Linked DNA regions of Nothobranchius furzeri. The protein of the gene in region 2 purifies or fractionates together with the protein of the main gene of each other region. This does not show direct contact. Links are inferred from orthologs where the notes say so. Each region holds a gene or a part of one and is shown on either strand. Other genes may lie near its edges. The genes, in order: kctd10, usp25 and btbd9.

Region 1 (3,753 bases), on a different chromosome or scaffold from region 2:
GCCTGGCTTTGTCCAGGAACTCGGACTTGGAGCTTTGAGGGACACTAAACATTGTGCACCCTAGAAATATATAAAATAATACAAACCATGAAGCTTCTGCAGTCTGCGTGATGGTGTTGATGGCTATTTAAAAAGGCGTTCCAGCCGGTATGTTTACATCCCATAAAGTAGTTGTTTGAGCTTAATGATGAATTTACCTGAGTCTGAAGATGGCAAGATGTTGTTTGGCCTTCAGCCTCACCTGTCGCTATACTATTTCAATCATTTGGCTGTCTGTGACATCCAAACATGAGGAAGGCAAAAGAACAAGAGGGCTAACTTGGCATCTTTGAAGCAAATAACGACACAGTGGAGGGTGAAGCAGCGACTGTTAGCTCTCAAGAGCTAGTTTGCGACTTGCCAACTATAAGGTAAATTTTACATACATTCAAAGATACATAGCATTGTTTTAGGCTAATATATTATCCTGTATCGATGTCAATTTTTCTAACGCAAGAAACACACCGTTTTGAAATGTAAACAATGAGATGAGATCCCTTCATTGACTTCAGCCATTAATCCCTTGTGCCGCTCGAAATGATTCCGGGCAACCTTTATGCTCGTAAACAAATGACAATAAAAGATTTAATACAATTTTAAAAATCTCAAATTTGCCAAATGAGCTCATTTTTATGTAGTAAAAACGGGTGACTTTCGGCTTTTTGTGGTGAATATAGATTTCCTCTGCTGAGTTGGGTGGGCTACGGAGAGGGGACTGTTTTCACTGTTACTCCGTCAGCGGAAATGTCCAGAGTCAAGGAAGTGTCGTTTTCCTAGTTTGTCGTTAACCAAAATTAATGTACAAAATATGGGAAAATTACAGTACTGCTAAATTACTGTTGTCATTTATATTTATTTGAAAATTCTATAATATTTACAAAATAATATAATCGGTCTGTGATAACGTCATTTTCACGGTACAATCGGTGTTGTGTCGAAAAATGTACCCTACCACCCTGTTCTGGAAAGAAGCATTTTAAGCGTTATTCAGAATTTCTTTTCTACAATTGTCCTAAAATATTTAATTTAACAGTTGAAATATTTATGTTGATAAATGATGCGAATGTTATAGTTTTGCAATACTCTGGTGAAAAATAATCGTCCCGTTTGTGTATAATTATAATCCCATCTTTAGAAACTAAGAATGCTGATAGTAAAGAATAATTCAACCTTTTCATCAGTGTCGGGCCCTGTCGCCGCAGAGGTGCTTTTTTGGGCACAACACCGGAAGGAAGTAGGTGTTAGCTGACTGGCGTTGGCAAGCTACGCTTACGAAGTCTGCTGTGGGTTCTATGGTAAATATGTATTTACATTTACAAAGGCAAATTCATGTTGCGCTACTTACATTATATGAAAGGACATTTTATAGAGTTCGTTCGACAGTAATTGTTGACATTTGGTAGTGAACCCTATCGGTATCAGCTAATGCTAACTTGCTTGCTAGCTCACAGTGGCCATTACAATAAAGTTAAATGTTTTAGAAAAAGAACTACGTATCAGCTTTACAAACAAAATATAAAACGTTCTTTGTAAAGTACGATCGTCGGGTTTCTCGTAAAATCTAAAGCTGTTCTCTTTGCGATTTTCACAACTTCAGCAATTGTTCAGTTATTTCCAATAGTTTTTGTAAATAATGCGATATAAAAGTCTCATATTTAGACATCTCTGCTCATTTAATCCTCCCTATTGACATCTAAAATTATTAGATTAATGCCACAGATTATTTTATTTATTTAAACAAAAATCGAAATATTCAGTACATTGTATTGTAAGCAGTGAGGCCACAGTGGTTAAATGGCCTAAATAAACATAATCAAGATGACCAAGATCACACTTATCAAAATTAAAGTTTCCGATCATGTGAAAACACAACATAATGTCTGACTGATGTGCGAATATGAGAGTTTTTTGTTGAGATCCATATGTCACATTATTTTATCTCTTGTTGCTCCAGGAAGAGATGTCAGGAGAGAGAGTGGTGAGCTCGGCAGTGCCGGCAGCTACAACACGGACCACGTCCTTCAAGGGCTCCAGCCCCAGTTCAAAGTATGTGAAACTAAATGTGGGTGGAGCTCTGTACTATACTACAATGCAGACTCTTACCAAACAGGACACGATGCTCAAAGCTATGTTCAGTGGCAGGATGGAAGTGTTGACGGACAGCGAAGGTGAGCCATGGATATAAAGTTTGAGAGATGTTTGTCATTGCTGATTTGACCTTTGACAAGGCTTAATCGCTCATCATTTCATATTCATAGGTTGGATTTTGATTGATCGCTGTGGGAAACACTTTGGAACAATCCTTAACTACCTTAGAGACGGAGCTGTCCCGCTCCCAGACAGCCGTCGAGAAACTGAGGAGCTCCTTGCTGAAGCCAAGTATTACCTGGTCCAAGGCCTTGCTGATGAATGTACGGCTGCTTTGCAGGTAACAAGTTTATTTACTTGGCATAAATTCTAAACTGCATAATAATAATGTTTAAAAAGTTTTTTAAATGGGCTTAATGTGTCTTTATGTTTTTTTTATTTTAAATTTAAAAATTATTTTTCATTTCAGAACAAAGAAACATATGAACCCCTTTGCAAAGTGCCTCTCATGACATCATCTAAAGAAGAGCAGAGACTCATCGCAACCTCAAAAAGGGTATTTGTATTTTTTATGTAAATTTGGGTTGGGACAAAATATTTGACCGTCGACGAACGGGTGAGCCGTTATGGTTGTTTTTACAAGAGGCTATTTGTTTATTTATTTGTTTGGCCGTGTGTACGTTTGTTAATGGCTCATGCACTTGCACAGATATTTTACATGTTGCGCACAGAGAACATCACAGAGGTAATGCAATCAATCAAGAAAAGATTTCCATCAGTGCATTTGAGTATTATCTCACACATTCTCCACATCCTGCTACTGACAGTGCTCATTACAGCACGCTGAAGAGGAGCTCGGAGTGCATCTGTGATGCACTCGGCATTGTTCATAAGAGCGCGATATTAAGTGCTTCTAGATCTGGGAAGTGGAAACCTTTCCATCTTTCAGAGAGTCCGGTAGACTTCTGGTTATTTCATATGAAGAATTGTTTCCTGATTGTAAAACTTTGGCTGAAGTTGCCCTCATTTTTCAGCACCCACTTCGAATCCAGCGTGGCAGCAGAGCAAGGATTCATCCAGAACAGCGTTTAAACAGCCATGAGTCTGTCTGGGGCAAAAGCCCAGGGACCTCATTTATCAAGCTTGCTTACGCACAAAACGGGGTCGGAAAATTGCATAAGCAACTTTCCATGCAAACTTTGGGATTTATGAAAGAAAACTTAGTGGGAAGTTGACTAAGGACCTTGCTTACGCACATTCTGGACATGGAGAGCACCTGCAGTGCTGCTGCTGAGAAGGATACAATTATGAAATCCTGCAGCATTATCACTTGTACTGCTTCGTTTTCACACAGAACAAGTGAAAGGAAGGGCTTTTTCAAAACAAATAAGAGAAAATCCACGAAGTGGCACAGTGTTGCTGAAAGCCGTCAATGTTGTGAATTCTTCAGAGAGATCTGTGGAGCGCGTGCACACACACACATACACACACACACACACACACACACACACACACACACACACACACACACACACACAAACACACACACACGCACACACACACACACACACACAGCCTGAAGCGCAGAATACGGAATGCAGAACAGGGGTGGACATTAACTTCAAA
Region 2 (3,753 bases):
GAGAACCAGGTCCAGGGTGTGACCCCTGGCATGAGTAGGGGACGATACCCATCGAGTTAAATTGAATGAATCTAGCAAATTCAGAAAACCTTTAGCAAGCACATTGTCAGGACAGCAGATATGGATGATAAAATCACCAAAAATAGGACATAGTCATATTTTAGGATGCAGTCTGCCACAAGATCATAGAAATCATTACGGGAAGTTAGAGTCAGTCTTTGGAGGGCGATAAATTAGCACGACGAGCAGGCGGGGGGAGATGCAGTTCAAATAGGCACAGTTGAAGAGAAGAAAATGACATGGTGAGTGTAAGCTGTTTACAAGGAAAGCTGGATTTTAAAACACAACCAGCCCACCACCTCTGCCCGACGATCTGGGGATATTAAAACAGGAGCAGCCAGGTGGTACCAGCTCCAGCATGGTGCTTGAGTCACCAAACGGACTCACAGATGCACAAAAAACTCAAGTCATGTTGAATAAAAAAATCCCGAAGAATGAAAGTTTTGTTCTGCACAGACCTGGGATTGACCAGACCAAACCGGGTCTGCGGCGGGGCCACAGCACCTGGATCGTGTACAGGCACCGTCTCCTCCAACTCTGAGCCCGTAACTGAGCGTAGATTCTCCCAGCAAACCCCACTCTGGCGAGGTCCTCGAGCCGATTGGCCGTGGCACGGTGCCAGCTCACCCTCAAAGCCGGCCAAGATCACAAGGCAGGGCGCAGAGTAAACCATCAGACGTCTCGGAACCACCGGGTCACAAGCTGGGCCGAATTGGACCAGCCGCTTCTTCAGGGATCCAGGAAGTCCAGCCCGACGTCTCACGCGAAGGCTACCTCGCTTTCCCCGTCTTATACGATGCTTCCTTCTCGAGCTGGGGCGGACAGAGGGCCAACACATCATGGCTTGGGGGGAGAGAGCACACGGGCAGTCCAAACAACAACGCCATCCGTGAGGTTCCCAGCGCGCAGCACCCGCTACATCAACAGGAGGACGAAGCCTCAGCCGCACAGCTCGATCATAAGTCACCAGAGAAGCCACACCATTCAAAAAAAGCATCAGAGACAACAAAATACGCAAAAGCCAATAAAACGCAAGGTTCCATTGCGTAAAGAGGACGAGCAGCTCGCTTCGTGAACCCGCGCGAGCGCCATCTGAACTCCCCCAACATATGTGGGATGGTATTGTATCGGCCCGATACCGGTGAACCCCTAGTGAAAAGATATCAGTTATGTAAAGAACAGGCTAATTCCATGAGGGAATTTATTAGTTTATTTTATGTTGTAACAAATAAACAGGAAATGGCAAAAACCCACTGAAAATGCCCACTGCTGCCCCTAGTGGCCAATATGTGTTAGAGCTTGCCGAAGAAGCACTTCTCCACGTTACAGAGGCGACGTGCTTCTCCCAGCGCTTCTTCTTTTTTGATCATCGTCCCGTCCCATCATTCTCCGGCTGGTGATCAGAAATCACTCGCCATAGTATGATGGGTTGGGACGATGATAATAAAGAACGTGTCCAGCTGTGAAGCAGCTGTGGATCACCGCCAAGCGGCAGGACTGGGGTGGAATTCCAGTTAGCCGTGTTTTGTAAACAAACACATCAGATACATCATAGGTAAGCTGGAATACAATTCACAAATAAAATTAACATTTTAAGAGAAATGTGAACATTTTTGTTAAAGGGAACGACGTTATTTACAAAGTCCCAAAATAAAATTAAATACGCCAGTTAAGGGTGTCGTTTGATTGGGTTTCTTGTTAAAATCTTTACGTATTTAGATCCTCGAGTGCCACGTTGTTTGTTTTTTATCAATAAATGACTAAATATGGCGAACGTGACCGGACCTCCACAGATGGCCAGGGTTTAGGGTAAACTCGCCTTTAGCGCGGACCGTTAGCTAACGCTAGTAAACAAACAGCAGCGCAAAGCTGGGCCTTTAAATTGCTGCTACCACACAGGACTTTAAAGCTTTAGCTCAAGCGTGGAAGGCCAACCATTAGGACATCTAACGCTTTAAAACCAACTCAACTATCCAGCGTCTCAACACAGTGATGCTGTAAATTCTTTGTGTCCTGAAACTCTGAAGCTATGCATTATGCTAAAGTTTGCTAGCTCTGAAGTTATCTTCTGCCAGCATACCTTCTGAGAATGCTGCTGGAGGACATTCTGCTCCACGGTCATGGCCGGTTCGGGGGTAAATGTGAGTCAGGTCCAACTAGGAGCAGCGAAACACAAGCTGCACTCGCTCCTGAAGCGAATCAAAACAAGATGCTACGAAGTCCCCACCTTAACCAGCGACACTACGGGCGCCATGGCAGAGAAACTAGCTCAGCTCGTGAAAACATTGCTCTAGCCCGCCGACGAGCTGGGATCGATTACTTTCGTCTGACTCGACTGCGTCAACGTCACGGGTGAGAAATAGAAATGCAGTTCACCCGTCTGACTGTATTTATCAAATTTTATAATGAGAAAAAACAACCATAATCTGTTTAAAATCAGATAGATGGACCATCATCTTCCACCCGGTAACATCAAAATAGTCCCCAAATTCAATGACCTAGTGTCTTTTGTAACCAAATTCCTGGCAAAGGCAGCTTTCTCCATCAGTGTGTAGGATAACGCCAGGGGTGTGTCCAGGGAGTGGCCTGGGGTGGCACATGCCACCCTTGGAATCTGAATGGCCACCCCATGTGTCACCACACTGAATTCCATTTAAATAGTATTTTCATTGTCCACAAAAGGCTTGGGGTAAAAAAAAGAAGCATAACCATTGGTGTCACCCATGCACAAAGTAGTGCCTCATCTGGGCCACCCCCATTCTAAAAGATCTGGACACGCCACTGGATAACGCGACTGTCTGATGAAGCCAAAGCATCCAAAACACTTAAAAACAGAAAAAACGATCTTCTGTCTCCTGTGACTTTGTCTAGTCCAGCACTTAACTTGAGCGGCATTTTTAAAGAACATGCATTCAGAGGGGCTTATTATTATTATTATTATTAACCTGGTAAATACATTTTTGAAAAGCAGCCTCACCTGGAAGTGTGGAAACAAAAGCCAAAAGCTTTTTATCATTTCCATCAACAAAAAGCAACACAGAAAAGGGATTTTAAGCCTTTAAAGATTGTTTTTCTTGTGCATCTACTGCTGATTTGTTTTTCTATTTTTATTCATTTAAAAGAATAATCCAACAATCACTTCTGTTCCAGACAATCACTGTTTGGAAGTGTGTTTCATTTCTATCAGGGAAGATTTGTTTTTGTGTGGATGTGTCTCACATGAACCAGTGGTTTAGATCAGTTTATTGTCCTTTTTTTATTCACTCTTCAGTCCTCACATTAAACCACACTTTTGGGACACCTCTGCACATTTATCGAATACATGTTAGTTTTCTGGTTGACAAAACAAAAATGCATCACAACTTTTGTCAGAATGACATCAAAAACTTTTAATTGTGAAGAAAACCCCTGAAGTCAGCCTTTCGGAGTCTGGCCTAATTATTCAGCCAGAAAAATCATCCAAATGTTGGGGAGATTATTCGTCTGACTCAAAACCAGGGCGCTCTTCTGATGCTCAGGAATCCATTTTGCTAGAAGTGAAGCCATCAGCAGGAACTGTGTCGATAAAGTAGCACATATAAATATTAATGGACGCATGATGTTGGCCAGGGTGAGCTGCTATGGTGGTGTTCATCAGTAGAGGGCAGTCTTATCCTGTAGAGTCTCTGATGCTGCTGTCCAGCTGGATGTGGG
Region 3 (3,753 bases), on a different chromosome or scaffold from region 2:
ACGTGTAGAACTTGGGAGTGCAGGCTGCTGCCTGAGAGGTGGTTGGAGACGGAGTGTCTCCATGCTGCTTTGTTTTGGTCACTTATGTGCGTGAGGCGAGTGGTGTTACGACTCTTCCTGGGGAGTTTGGCTCGTGTGCAAAAAGGAAGGGACAATAACGCAGGATTTAAAAGTTAAAATGATGATCAGGTTTATTTACAACTACAAAACATAAATCTTTCCATCCACAGGTTGGGAATAATAAAACTAATTCTGCCTGTGGGGAATTAAAACAAAAGTACAAATAAGTAGGGATGTCCCACTGGGCAAAGATTACAGGGTTCTGGAAAAAAAATAAGCATCTCCAAAGGTCCAAACTCTAAACTGGGCGGTTAAACCAAACTCAAGGTGATGTTTTAAACTAAACCGAAAACCCACAACACTCTAAATGTAATAAAAGGGAGATCTGCACCACAAAAAAGATGAACTCTAAACCAAAACGTAACAGCTTATCCCAACGCAAGAAGCTGTTAGCGAAAATGCTAACAGTAGCTTTACCAACGTTAAGTTCAAGTTACCAAGTTTAAATAAACCAAAAATACCCAGCAGCAAACAGACCAGCACGGAGGAGAGACTGCTACCACCAAAACAGCTCTCCTGATGTCTGAAAGAAGCTCCTTAATGAAGGGAGAAACTCTACCAGTGATTTTCCACATCTGCGGTAGAGACGATGCAGCGCATCTGACCCCGGAAGTTGGTGTCCGTTGCCGAGAGACGAAGGCGGACAAAACAGGAAAGGAATCTAGTAGCGGACGGACATTTTGCCGGGTCTTCGGTATTTGGTGGAGATGTTAGTGAAGGCGGAGAAGAGGGCGAACTAGAGGGAAAACAGGCAGATTTCTCCTCTATTTACAAACTCCTGTGGATGCAACAAGTGGGCGCGGTGCGTCGACTACCGAATCTGATGTCGACGAATTTTTAGAATCGAGCCGTCGACGTCATTGAAGCTTCGCTACAACCCTAGCTTATACTGAGCCAGGATCCTCTGGAGGTTTCTTCCTGTTAAAAGGAAGTTTTCCTCTCCACTGTAGCCACATGCGTGCTTAGGATGAGGATTGCTGTAAAGACTCTTGACACTAGTCAGTGACTCGATGCAATTTGCTGGTTTCCTTACAGGAAACTTTTTACTGACTGGATTAATGAACTGACCTGTATTGGGATGTTTACTGTGTGAAAGTCCTTGAGACGACTCCTGTCGTGATTTGATGCTGTGCTGTATAAATAAACTTGAATTGCATTGCATCAGGTAAATGTTTATATTATAAAACCTGAAAACAAATCAGGATGAATACAGTTTATCTGTGAAACAATTTTTTTGCTTAACATTTGAAAACAAATCAAACCCTAATATTTATTAGTTAACTTTTACATAAAGTTTGAAAAAAGGATGAGTAGAACAGAAAAGATAATCAGATTCAACATGGTTGGTGAAACTCAAACATCAGATCTTTACTTTCTTAGCTTAACATGCTGCCAATCTGAGAAAAAGAAATTCTCTATTTAACTCAGTTCATAAATTCACAACAGCCTGAACTAATTTTAAGTGGTAAACTGTTGTGTTTGTTTTGCTTTGAGCTTTAACCTCAGCAGCCGGAAGAGTGACCAAAACCACGTGTGATGACTAATCCAGGAATGCAAACACGTAGACTCACCTGAAGTAGTGGCAGCGAGCAGCAAGGATGACCCGGTGAGCCGGGAACCGCTTCCCCTCCACGATGAAGGTGACATCGCTGTACTCCTCTCCCAGCACCAGCGCTCCCAGCTGCTCTGACAGCAGGTGGATGTGATCGATCTCCGAAATGGAGGCCAGCGGCCGCAGGGGATGACTGTTGCTCATGGTCGACATCCAACAGAGTTACAGCTGTCACATAAAAAGCACAGCAACCTCAAACCGGCGTCACAAACAGTAAACAAGTCAAAGAGAAACAACCCGCGAAGGCGTCGCTCTCACAGTTAGCTCATGCTAGATGCTAACCGCAGCGCCAAAAACATAGCGGTTAGGTTAAAACAACAGACTAAAGTACACATGCTCACCGCTGCATTTGAAGTATTTAAACATAAAAAATAATAATAGAGAAGTTGTTTGGAAGCTAGCCGATGCCGGTGTCGTCGCCGACATTTAGCAAACAGCTAATTACCCTTTAGCATCTCTGTCTAACGTCATTCTGCGTCTCCTACTTACCGAACAGATACCATTCACTCCTGTCTTTTGATCAAAGTTAGTACAAAAATACAGCTGGGGCTAAGTTTTCCAATATGGAGAAAGAAATGCACCAAATTCCCGACCCTTCCACCATAACAGCAGCTTGGAAACGGAGTGACGCGGAAACGTCAGCAAACAACTTCCGATTAGTAAAATGTTGCTACATAGCAGCAACAGCGCCACTGTCTGGATCGGAAGGTCATTGTTAATTAAATTAAATTAAATTAAATTAAATTAAATTAAATTAAATTAAATTAAATTAAATTAAATTGAAATAATGTTTAGCTTCACAGAACCTTTACATATATTACATATTTTGCTACACTGTATTTTAGCTGAATATCTCATGTCAAATGGTTGCTAAACTTGGTTATCATTTTTATTATCATATATTATTGACTGTTATTATGAAAATTAACAGTTTTTTGCTGACTCTTTAGTTTTATTTTAGTTGATCATTCAATGACACCAACAGTCTAGCATTTAGTATCCCTCAGTGGGTCCTGACCCCTACTTTGGAAACCACTGAAAAAAAAGTTTCCTTGATTTCTGACCAACATGATCAAATTTGTCATTAAAATAATTCACAAAGGCTTATATTGTCTTTCCGCTACTCTTAAAAATATCCGTGTGCAAAGATGTTTGATAAAAAAATGAAAATGTAGCAAATTTATCAGAAGGAACTTAAAAAGGAAACATAAAAAACAAATACTATACAACTGTGTTTATTAAATATATATTATATTGTACATAATTAGTTAGATAAATATGCAAAGTAAAAAATCTGACAGAAAATAATTAAGATTTATGTGAAACAAACTGATGTGTCTTTATTATGGATGCCATTTTACCAGCAGGTGTCATCATATCAATAACTGAACCATCTGAAGCATTAAGACTTTTACAAGAAAATGAGCATTTAAACAAAACAAAAAAAAAATAAAAGAAAATGTCAAAATATTGCATCTGAATCTGTTAAAAATACAAAATAAGTCTAAAACATTACATGCATAAATACATGTGTATGTGTGTAAGAAGAGGTGAAAAGAAAACATGCATGACTGTAAAAAGCATCTTTAGAGCTGTCACTCATCCTGCGTCTCCGTGACAACAAGTTTCTTCATGAGTTGGATTTTTACATCTCACAGCTGCTCTGCTGAATCACATCCTTCATGACATCTGAACATGTTCCTGTCACGCCCATCGCTTAAAGTAAAAAGTCTAATTAAATATCAAACTGTTACATAATACAGTCCGGGTTAAATACTGATGAGTTACTTTAAAGATGACGCTAAAAGAAAACAAAGCTTTAAAATAAACAAAAACCATGAAAAACATCTTCCATTAACTGATGAGGCTTTGCTATCAGACCAGCAGAGTTTTATTATTTATTATTTAGGTTTTTCTACGACTGAAGCATAGAGGCTGTTGGGATCAGTGGGCGGAGCTTTCACCACGCTGTAAGTGACATCAACGTCAACATTAATCTGCAAAAAAACAAAAATGAGAGG

What was found.
Region 1: the proteins of usp25 (region 2) and kctd10 purify together in Homo sapiens (affinity purification with mass spectrometry; 4 studies listed by BioGRID and IntAct, counting the BioPlex papers as one, with this or other methods). This does not show direct contact. The link is inferred for Nothobranchius furzeri from reciprocal best matches to the Homo sapiens genes USP25 and KCTD10.
Region 3: the proteins of usp25 (region 2) and btbd9 purify together in Homo sapiens (affinity purification with mass spectrometry; 3 studies listed by BioGRID and IntAct, counting the BioPlex papers as one, with this or other methods). This does not show direct contact. The link is inferred for Nothobranchius furzeri from reciprocal best matches to the Homo sapiens genes USP25 and BTBD9.

Annotation. Positions count from the first base shown.
Region 1 is NC_091757.1:45,363,583-45,367,335, reverse strand, and holds the start of kctd10 (BTB/POZ domain-containing adapter for CUL3-mediated RhoA degradation protein 3), read left to right. Parts: upstream 1-1,196; 5' UTR 1,197-1,331; coding exon 1,332-1,334; intron 1,335-1,993; coding exon 1,994-2,207; intron 2,208-2,297; coding exon 2,298-2,467; intron 2,468-2,596; coding exon 2,597-2,683; intron 2,684-3,753. Other genes in the region: ube3b (ubiquitin-protein ligase E3B), read right to left, coding at 1-52. UniProt on the Homo sapiens protein: Substrate-specific adapter of a BCR (BTB-CUL3-RBX1) E3 ubiquitin-protein ligase complex. The BCR(BACURD3) E3 ubiquitin ligase complex mediates the ubiquitination of target proteins, leading to their degradation by the proteasome.
Region 2 is NC_091750.1:42,789,551-42,793,303, forward strand, and holds the start of usp25 (ubiquitin carboxyl-terminal hydrolase 25), read right to left. Parts: upstream 2,361-3,753; 5' UTR 2,183-2,360; coding exon 2,141-2,182; intron 1-2,140. UniProt on the Homo sapiens protein: Deubiquitinating enzyme that hydrolyzes ubiquitin moieties conjugated to substrates and thus, functions in various biological processes including inflammation and immune response.
Region 3 is NC_091742.1:14,671,013-14,674,765, reverse strand, and holds the start of btbd9 (BTB/POZ domain-containing protein 9), read right to left. Parts: upstream 2,363-3,753; 5' UTR 2,222-2,362; intron 1,901-2,221; 5' UTR 1,886-1,900; coding exon 1,692-1,885; intron 1-1,691. Other genes in the region: uncharacterized protein, read right to left, coding at 3,634-3,729.